2 linked regions of the Arabidopsis thaliana genome follow. The protein of the gene in region 2 interacts with the protein of the main gene of each other region in a pairwise test. Each region holds a gene or a part of one and is shown on either strand. Other genes may lie near its edges.

The links. The genes of interacting proteins can lie anywhere in the genome.
Region 1: the proteins of ZFP8 (region 2) and CUC2 interact in a two-hybrid assay, tested with the Arabidopsis thaliana proteins (one large-scale study listed by BioGRID).

Annotation. Positions count from the first base shown.
Region 1 is NC_003076.8:21,900,845-21,905,802, forward strand, and holds CUC2 (NAC (No Apical Meristem) domain transcriptional regulator superfamily protein), read right to left. Parts: upstream 3,011-4,958; 5' UTR 2,952-3,010; coding exon 2,762-2,951; intron 2,682-2,761; coding exon 2,398-2,681; intron 1,776-2,397; coding exon 1,122-1,775; 3' UTR 860-1,121; downstream 1-859.
Region 2 is NC_003071.7:17,505,015-17,509,402, forward strand, and holds ZFP8 (zinc finger protein 8), read left to right. Parts: upstream 1-2,328; 5' UTR 2,329-2,541; coding exon 2,542-3,315; 3' UTR 3,316-3,602; downstream 3,603-4,388. UniProt on the Arabidopsis thaliana protein: Probable transcription factor required for the initiation of inflorescence trichomes in response to gibberellin and cytokinin. Is not involved in the regulation of trichome branching. Is functionally equivalent to GIS2.

The sequences.
Region 1 (4,958 bases), on a different chromosome or scaffold from region 2:
TAATTGATGATGGTAATGATGATGATGATGATGATGGTTGTGTTACACACATACATATATCATACTCCTACTAGTATACACACGTGAAATGAAAACACATATATAATGGTAATAAACAGAGGTATTATTAATTATGTCTCTTTCTAAAAATAGAAATGTGAAAGCCATCCTTCTGAAAGTGAGGTGGACTGTTGTACAAGATCTGAATTTGGGAGTGGTCCGTTCGTCAGCATGCGCATCATATTCATCATCCCCGTTTCAAAATCCTTAATTTCAAAACTACTTCTTTTCTTTGGTGGGTTTACAATGCATTAAGTTAATCAAAATTAGTATGTAAATTATTTTCAGTAACTACCATGTACATGCATGTTATCTTAATCAATTAAGCCAAACGCAAATTGTTGTGTTTAGTCTCATATGTGTACGATTGTAGCAAGAAGATACACCTAACTGAAAATGGTGTTCATAGACTGATTAATCCACTGAATTATGAGTACTTACTTTAAAAGCATGAAACTTTCTTGAAATATTTTGGCAGTTACACATGTCAACCTTAATTAGCTAGAATTAATAAACAAAAACTACATGCATGTTTTACATTTGAGCATCTTCAATTGATGAAGAAATTAAATAATTAGCCATGTTATGTAATTACGGAAATCATCTAACCGAAGATTCGGAACGGTTGAATTCCGGAAACATATATATAACCGCCATATCAAATTGTATTAACAAGAAGAAAACTAAGGTATCTAGAAGCGACCGAAGAAATTCATTTTGTCGGTAATATACTGTATGATTGTATTGATAACCAAGGACACATGTCAAATATCATGAGAAATATAAAACATGAAAAAGCCATGAAATTAACATAATGTCAAACATTACAAAAACGAGCATAGCTTATACATATGCACGTTCATAGTCTAGAAAACATTTTCCTTGCATATTACCTCCTAATTAACACAACCGGATAAACTTAAAACTAGAGAATTAAGCGGAACATCAAGCTAAGTGCAATATTAAGCTCCTCGGTACACACATTTCATAATACCATAATCATCCTAGAAATACATAAATAAAACCCTAACGGGAACAATTATAAGTCACCTCTTTTGTGATCAGTAGTTCCAAATACAGTCAAGTCCAGCATGAAGCACACCGACCTTTGACTCATTCTCTTCGGCAGTCGCCGGTAGCCAGTAATTCATCCCGGAGACGCCTCCGCCGCCTTGGAAAGAAGGCAGATTAACGGCGGAGGTCATAGTCGATGCAGAAGACGATCCAAAGTAAGGAAATTGATTGAAGTTTTCTTGGAACGATCTGAAGTTAGATTGAGTCGAGACGTTTCTAGAAACGAAACGAGGAAAAGGGTCAAAGTCAAACCCTAGCGGCGGTGGAAGACGGCTGAATGAGTTAACGTCTAAGCCCAAGGCCGTAGTAGTAGTAGGGACAGTGGAGAAACAGGACACGTGCTCGGTTATTGCGCTGGCTGTGACGGTTGTGTTGGTGCTACGGCTGTCGTAGGAGCAACTGCTGTCGGTGTAGCCGAGGGTAGTGGTCGGATCCAGGAGAGGTGGGAGTGAGACGGAGGAAGGAGAGCTTGGTTGTTCTTGATAGTTTCTTGAGATTGTTGAGGGTACTTTCGTCTTTTTAGATGGACCAGTACCGCTGCTTACGCTCACAGTTGCTCCTCCTCCTCCTCCTCCTTCGGAGACGGCTCCGGTGCTAGCTAAAGTGGTTTTCTGGAAAACCCTAGAGATCACCCATTCATCCTGAAGGAATAAATTAGAGTTTTGAAAAGTCAAATATTTTATATAATATATGTTTGATGAGAAAGTCAATGTTAGATCTTGGAAATAAAAGAGAGTGAAGATTAAGAAAAACCATAGAGTAAAAGCGTGCACAGAGGGAATGTACATTGGACACTACAAGTCTACAATGGATATGGAACACTAATTAAGTAAAATTAATTTAATTAAATTTCTTTTTAATATATCTAGGTCAGAAAAAAATCCTGAAGATTTGCATTGGTTCTGGTTTTTTGCATTAAGCTTTCCAAAAGTAGGATGTATTAATATTTTATTTTATCAGAGCTATTGAATGTTTTCTTACTTTAGGAAAACACCATTATGATTGAAATCCCAATACATAAAAACAGCAGATCTTTTCTATTTCATGTTCCATAATGCTCTCAGATAACCACAGTAAAGAACCATGCCTTTTCAGCCATCAAAATTAAATGCAATAAAGCAAAAGAGAAAAAAATCAACGTCACCGACTATGTCACACTCTCGAATTTTTTTTCCAAATAATAGATTGTAAATTTATTAATCAAAGAAAATTAAGGCTTTACTTTATCAACAAAATAACTAATGAAAGGTTAAATCGAAGTACCTTGGAGCTTCTTGAGATGAAATGGTAAGAGAATTTGCCTTCAAGACGATATTCATGCATAACCCAATTACTCTTCTCTCCTTTCGGAGCTCTTCCTTTGTAAAAGACAAGAGTCTTCTTCATCCCAACAAGTGCACAAGTCTTTGAACTAAAGATCTCTCTGTCTTTTCCGGTAGCTTTCCAGTAACCAGCCTCAGTTGCTCTGTTAGTTCTCAGTCCCGTCGGATACTTCCGGTCACGGAGGCTAAAGAAGTACCATTCTTTCTCTCCCATCTTAGCTCTCCCTAAGTAACATTGAGAGTAAAGATTTCAGAAACCTTAATTACAAAAGAACTACAAGTAAGTTAGTTTTGTATTTTCTTACCGGGAAGTTGCCAAGGCTCACACTTGTTGAGATCAACTTCTGCGATGGCACGGCTTGAGAAGCAACCGTCGAGGACTTTGCGGAGAAGGTAATGAGTGATGAGCTCTTCGTCCGTGGGATGAAACCTGAAACCCGGTGGAAGATATTGGCTGTCTCCGCCATGGTCGTAGTGGTAATACGGAATGTCCATTAAGAAGAAAGATCTAAAGCTTTTGTTTGAGAGAGAAAAAACCCTAAGGAGACTCAAATGTTTTGAAGAAGAAGATAAATAGGTTAATATAATGGATGGTTCTTGAGTAAGGGGCGTGGTAATAATGTGGATGGATATTATTTTTTGGTTTTATTAGTTTATTTTTTTTATACATTGGGATTTGGTAAATCTAAAACGGCGAAATAGAGGGAAGCTTTTTTTTTGGGGTAGTGAAAGTAAAATAATTATTAAAAGATTAAAAACCAGAAAGTCGTAGAGAAGATAATTATAAATTTAGTAATAATAAAAAGACAGGTACGTCTACTCTTTCATAGGAATCTGTGGTTTTCTCTGCCTTGTCTTGTAGTAAAGAGAGCAAAGCCAAAGCAGATTATTACATCACATTTTTGAGTTTATCGATATATTTTTTACATAACTCGAGATTGTTTTAAAATTACAAAATTAAAATTAATCATGAAGTGTCCGTATTTCTTTGAATTAAATTATTAAAGAAACGAGGAATGGGCTCTTGTTTCTATCTGAGTATGCGTGCGTGCATGAGAAAAAGTGCAGTGGTATTCTCTGTCAGTGATGAAAATAAAAGAGAGGATTCAGATTGTATCTTTTTTTTTATCTACGAACTTGAAATTTCTTTTTATTATTGTGTTTGGAAATTGGGATACATAATAATTTATTATACGTACAATGACTAATCGAAACAATAGTAGTATAGTGAGGGATACATTATTAGACATATACACTAGTTATTTGGAAAGTGAAGAGTTTCAATTTTTATTTTTAATAGAAAAATGGATATTATATCGATAAGGCTGTTTCAAATCTTGGAGTGTCAGCACAGTACATGATTAATTTATCAAAAACTTTGACAGAGACTTCGTTACTACACGCCACCACCTTCTACACCTTTCACCTCTCTTTTTTTTTTCCTTGATTTTCTTTTCGTTTTTGTTTCATCTTTTCCATTTTCCAATTTTTTACTCCTGTGATGGATTTTTAGTTACTTTTCATTGCTTCATATTCATTTGTAAGACTCAGCAAAAGAAAATTAAATTTCATTATTTTCAAGCAACGAGATTTATGATGTAAGATTGAAAAATAATTTAATCAAGAAGTTACAGGTTGCAAATCAGAGAAGATATTTATGCTGCCTGGTTTTGTAGTTTTCTTAATTACTATCTCAAGTCTGTTTTTTCTCCTTTTTTATATAAATTAATTATGGCTCATCAAATAACTAATTATCAATTATGTTGATTGTTACAGGTCCACCAAAATGACATGACTAAACGTAAATTTCACAATTGTTAATTTATTTCTGTTACTTCCAATATTTTGATTATTATCTCATACAAATTATTTATTTTAGTGGAACTTCAATTTTAGCCCTATTTGACATGACTTGTTTTTTAAAATTTCCCACCCAAAAATGTACTAAAGAATAAACTAAAGAATAAAAGACACACCCAAAAATGTAAAGACCTTAAGATCAAACTAAAAAGATAGTGAGTTGATCAATTTCTACTAATAAATTAACTACAGACTTATTGACTATTTTAACCGTATGAAAAAATTGTATAAACTTAAATCAAAATAACTCTCCCCTTCGAGTATTCATATCTACGGACTTATCATGTGTGTAACTATTAGTTAAAAAAAAGAAGATGTTATAAAGTATGCAAAGTAATAATTATACATTAAAAATCATTATCAGAGACATGCTAAGACTATTACACCTGCTACTACTGTTTAATAGTAGTATTTATTACTATCTAGAAATTGTAGGTCTATCTATACGTCTTTTTAGACATATCTGCATATGACAGTAACTAAATCTAATTAATAAGATCCTTTCCTGTCTTAATTACAGATAGTTGAAGTAAAAGATTATCACCAAGCTATGAACCGAAGCAATAACATTATATAATTGTAATTACTTGAATTTATGAAGTTTTGAATACATTCTAGTGTGCCAAAGTGTTAATTGTCTTA
Region 2 (4,388 bases):
TTACTTTTCTTTGTAACCATGTTTTTAGATATGCATTTACAATATGTTTTTTTTTTCTTCCCTTTTTTATGAGATTTAAAAGTATTATATTATGACACAAGTATGTTACACTGGTTAGGACTTAGCTTTAGACAAAAAAAAATCAGAGTCCGAGATTTTATATAGATTTCGTCTTTTTAATCAAAAAAGTTCTGATATATAACCTAAAAAGACTACGTAGTATGATCTAAGAGATTTGACAAAATTTGGTTGTAGAAAGTCCGATATTAAGCATTCTCATCAATTTCCCTTAAATATTTTTCTAAAATATTAGAGGAATACAAAAAAACATTCTCATTAACTATATAATTTTAATAACAGTTAAAACTTTCATATTTGCATGCCAAGGCTCTCTGATGAGTTTAAATGTTAAATCGCATGTGTAGGTTTAAACAGAGTTTATTGTTTGTGGAAAAATAAAAGAGACGTGGACTCGTCATGTGAAGTCCAAAATCTGCAAAATTATGTATGTAAATTAATGTACTTTGGGACCAGCATTCGTATGGACATTATTACCATAGTTGAATTTACTTCCCTTTCTTACAATAAGCTTTTGATTACTCATATATACCTCACACATGTTATGTGAATCGGTAAATTCATACTATATGTGAGGAAGTCACTTACAACAGTTGGATTTTAAAGGGAATCCGTCTGAAAAAAATTTGGAGAAAAAAAGAAATTGTTTTGCTTACATAATTTAATTTAAAAATTATAAATAACAATACTTTTATAAGAGAATAGTTTATCTGTTGACCAAAAAAAAAGGAATAGTTTATCTATCCACAAATGGATGATCCATATTGGAGTATATAGAACGATAAGAGATGATTCGATACGTACTAAATGAAAACTTTGAATACTGTGTATAGTAAGCAATCAGCATTAGTTTACAAGATCTTAGTTTTCGTAGGATTAGTTTAGACTGTTTAGTAATTTGATTCCAACCATTGTACAGGAGAAAATTTTTACCGCTCAAAACAACTAACTGAACGTCATACTTAATTGGGAATTTGGGAGTCGTCAAAGAAATGAAAAAGGTCAGATTAATTTATGGATTAATGAGTTTTATAGTCCTTATTCCAGCTTGACATTAGCAACATATACATTATTTGTGTGACATAATCAGGGAATATATATAATCAAAATTAATGGGATTTAAAATTTAATTATTCTTACAAAATATCAAAAAATTTAGTGTAGACGAACAAAAAGAGAATACATATATATATATAGTTCATTTGAAGAAGACGTGTATATGATCGATCCGAGTTGATAAGTATTAACAGATTACATACATATTGATAAGATGATGTGATCTCATCGATTAAGGTTCAATCTTTTAAATTGGTTAACTATCTGGTGATGACATGTCAACTAGTCGATTATGAGCATCATTAATGATCATGAACATGGACCACCTCTCTCTCTCTGTAAGATTATCTTTGCATCAAAGAGACAAAACATCCAAGAGACTAAAAGTATGGTCCTTGAGAGAGAAGAAGTCTCTTTAATTAGGTCTTTCTATTTCTCTCTCTCTCTATTAGTAGTAAAATCCATGTACTTATACGTAGACATAATAACCAAATAGGTCCGTGATGTTAAAGAGTACACACCTAACTTCACCTTGCTAATGATCTCTTACCTACAAACTCTCACTGTTTTTAGTTCATCTCATTACTCACTGTGACCCCATTTCATCTGCTTACGACCAATTTGGTAAGCTTTTTGTCTTAGTTTCAACATTTGCAGGAATCACTTTAAGAAACAACTAACTAAAAAGGAGATAACTTTGAAAAAGGAGGATTGATGGGTTTGTTTTTGATGAGATGGATATTTGTATATGTATGTCTAATGAGAGATATATTGCGTAGGGGAAGTGAATGTAGATTAGAGGTCTCCCTATATATTGATTGATTTTATCCGGCTATTTTTACCTACCGCGACACACGGTATAGATTCATAGTAAGCTACAATTTAAACACAAGATAAATCTGTAATCATATAGTATAGTACTATGCTTCCATATATACCCCATATTTACGTCTCCTATGCTTCCATACGCTAATTAGTTTTTTTTTTTTTCCAACCATAATTGCAGGTTTATATAAACATGAACTAACGAAAAAAATAAAATATAAACATGCACCATGGAGTCAATTTTAAAATTCTATGAGGTTTGATTTTCAAAAGGAAAAATCTAATATACTAATGAAAAAATTGAGATCATAAAAAAACTAATGAAGAAGTAGATTTATTTATTTTGAAAAATATGTACAAGTGAAATGTGGATCATTCTTTAGCTATATATATATAGGTGGATAAACGTAAAATCACGCACGCGGCCATGCTGCAGGGGTTAAATAGCAATTATGTATTTACCTTAAAAAGAATTTGGGAACCTCTCTTTAAATTAATGCAAAACCTCATCTCTTGTCTTTCTGTCTCTGAAACAGTCAACCTCATTCTTCTCAAACTCACTCTCCCTGATCTCTCTCTTCCATGGACGAAACCAACGGACGAAGAGAAACTCACGATTTCATGAACGTCAACGTTGAATCCTTCTCTCAGCTTCCTTTCATCCGCCGTACTCCTCCCAAAGAAAAAGCCGCCATTATTCGTCTCTTCGGCCAAGAGCTCGTCGGTGATAACTCCGACAACTTATCCGCAGAACCTTCTGATCATCAAACCACTACCAAGAACGATGAGAGCTCTGAGAATATCAAGGACAAAGACAAAGAAAAAGATAAGGACAAAGACAAAGATAACAACAACAACAGGAGATTCGAGTGTCACTACTGCTTCAGAAACTTCCCAACTTCTCAAGCCCTAGGTGGACATCAAAACGCTCACAAACGTGAACGTCAACACGCCAAACGCGGTTCCATGACATCATACCTTCATCATCATCAGCCTCATGACCCTCACCACATCTACGGCTTCCTCAACAACCACCACCACCGTCACTATCCGTCTTGGACGACGGAAGCTAGATCATACTACGGCGGAGGGGGACATCAAACGCCGTCGTACTACTCAAGGAATACTCTTGCTCCTCCTTCTTCTAACCCACCGACAATCAACGGAAGTCCTTTAGGTTTGTGGCGTGTACCGCCTTCCACGTCAACAAATACTATTCAAGGCGTTTACTCATCTTCACCAGCTTCAGCGTTTAGGTCGCATGAGCAAGAGACTAATAAGGAGCCTAATAACTGGCCGTACAGATTGATGAAACCCAATGTGCAAGATCATGTGAGTCTCGATCTTCATCTCTGACTTCTTTTATTTTATTTTTTTATCATCCATCATTGCTGTGATATATGAGACTCGCTGATCGGTGAAGCCAATTCTTTTGAGAGTGTTGGAGACTGAAAAAAAGAAAAAGAAAACGAGAACCGGTTTGGTGTGTAGATCATCTTGAACCTTTTTGAGGTTTTCACATTCTGAGTTTATATTAATAAAGGGAATAATATTTTGGTTAATTAGTAAAATTCGTTCATCCGTTTAATTTCCTCTCACGTGTGTGTGAATGTGAATGATATAATTATCGTTTTTTTTGTTTGATTTCATCTGTTCATTTGTGAGTTCTGTTATGGCTTCCTTCAAGACTCTCTATAACTTTCAGAGAAAGAGGAACATTAATTTAAGGGCCATGGAAGTCACACGTACTTTCTCTCTGTTGTTGCAGTCGAGATATTTAAAGTCTTAACCATTAAAAACCCCAGAAGACTCTTTAGATACAAAATGCTTAGGGTCTCTGTCTAATTAAAACGGTCTTTTACCGAATCAAGAGGCAACGAAGGATGGGTAAATGCAGATGTTGATGATGATTCGGTGACTGTGGGGATCACTGAAGACAATGGACAAGACAAAAGGGGAGAGAGAGAGAGAGAGTTGAGAAGTGAAAGTGGTCCATGATTACAAGTGTAGAGTTAGCCAAAGATAGAGCTTTCACATCTTTCTCAACACACAGAACCTAAAGCTAAAGCCTTTCCTCAAAAGCTTTCTTCTTTAGTTTCTTTTCTAACCTTTTTTTGGGCAGTTCAAAGAGAATCATCAACTACAAGCTGTCTACCATATTTCCTTGTTCATCTCTCTCTCTCTCTCCCCATATACCACAATGCTCAAAATATAATAAGAAAATAAAAATACTGGTTACAAGCCACGGCACATGACCATGTTTCTTCTTATTGCCTCCAGTGAACAGACTTTGAATGAAGTCCATATGCCCCAAGGCCTACAAGAATCACAATCGTATATCTCAGAAGAAGCAATGATATCAATCCTCGTACCTAACATATGACCTTCAATGTCTTAACACTAACCAAACATTAAAGACAACCATATTT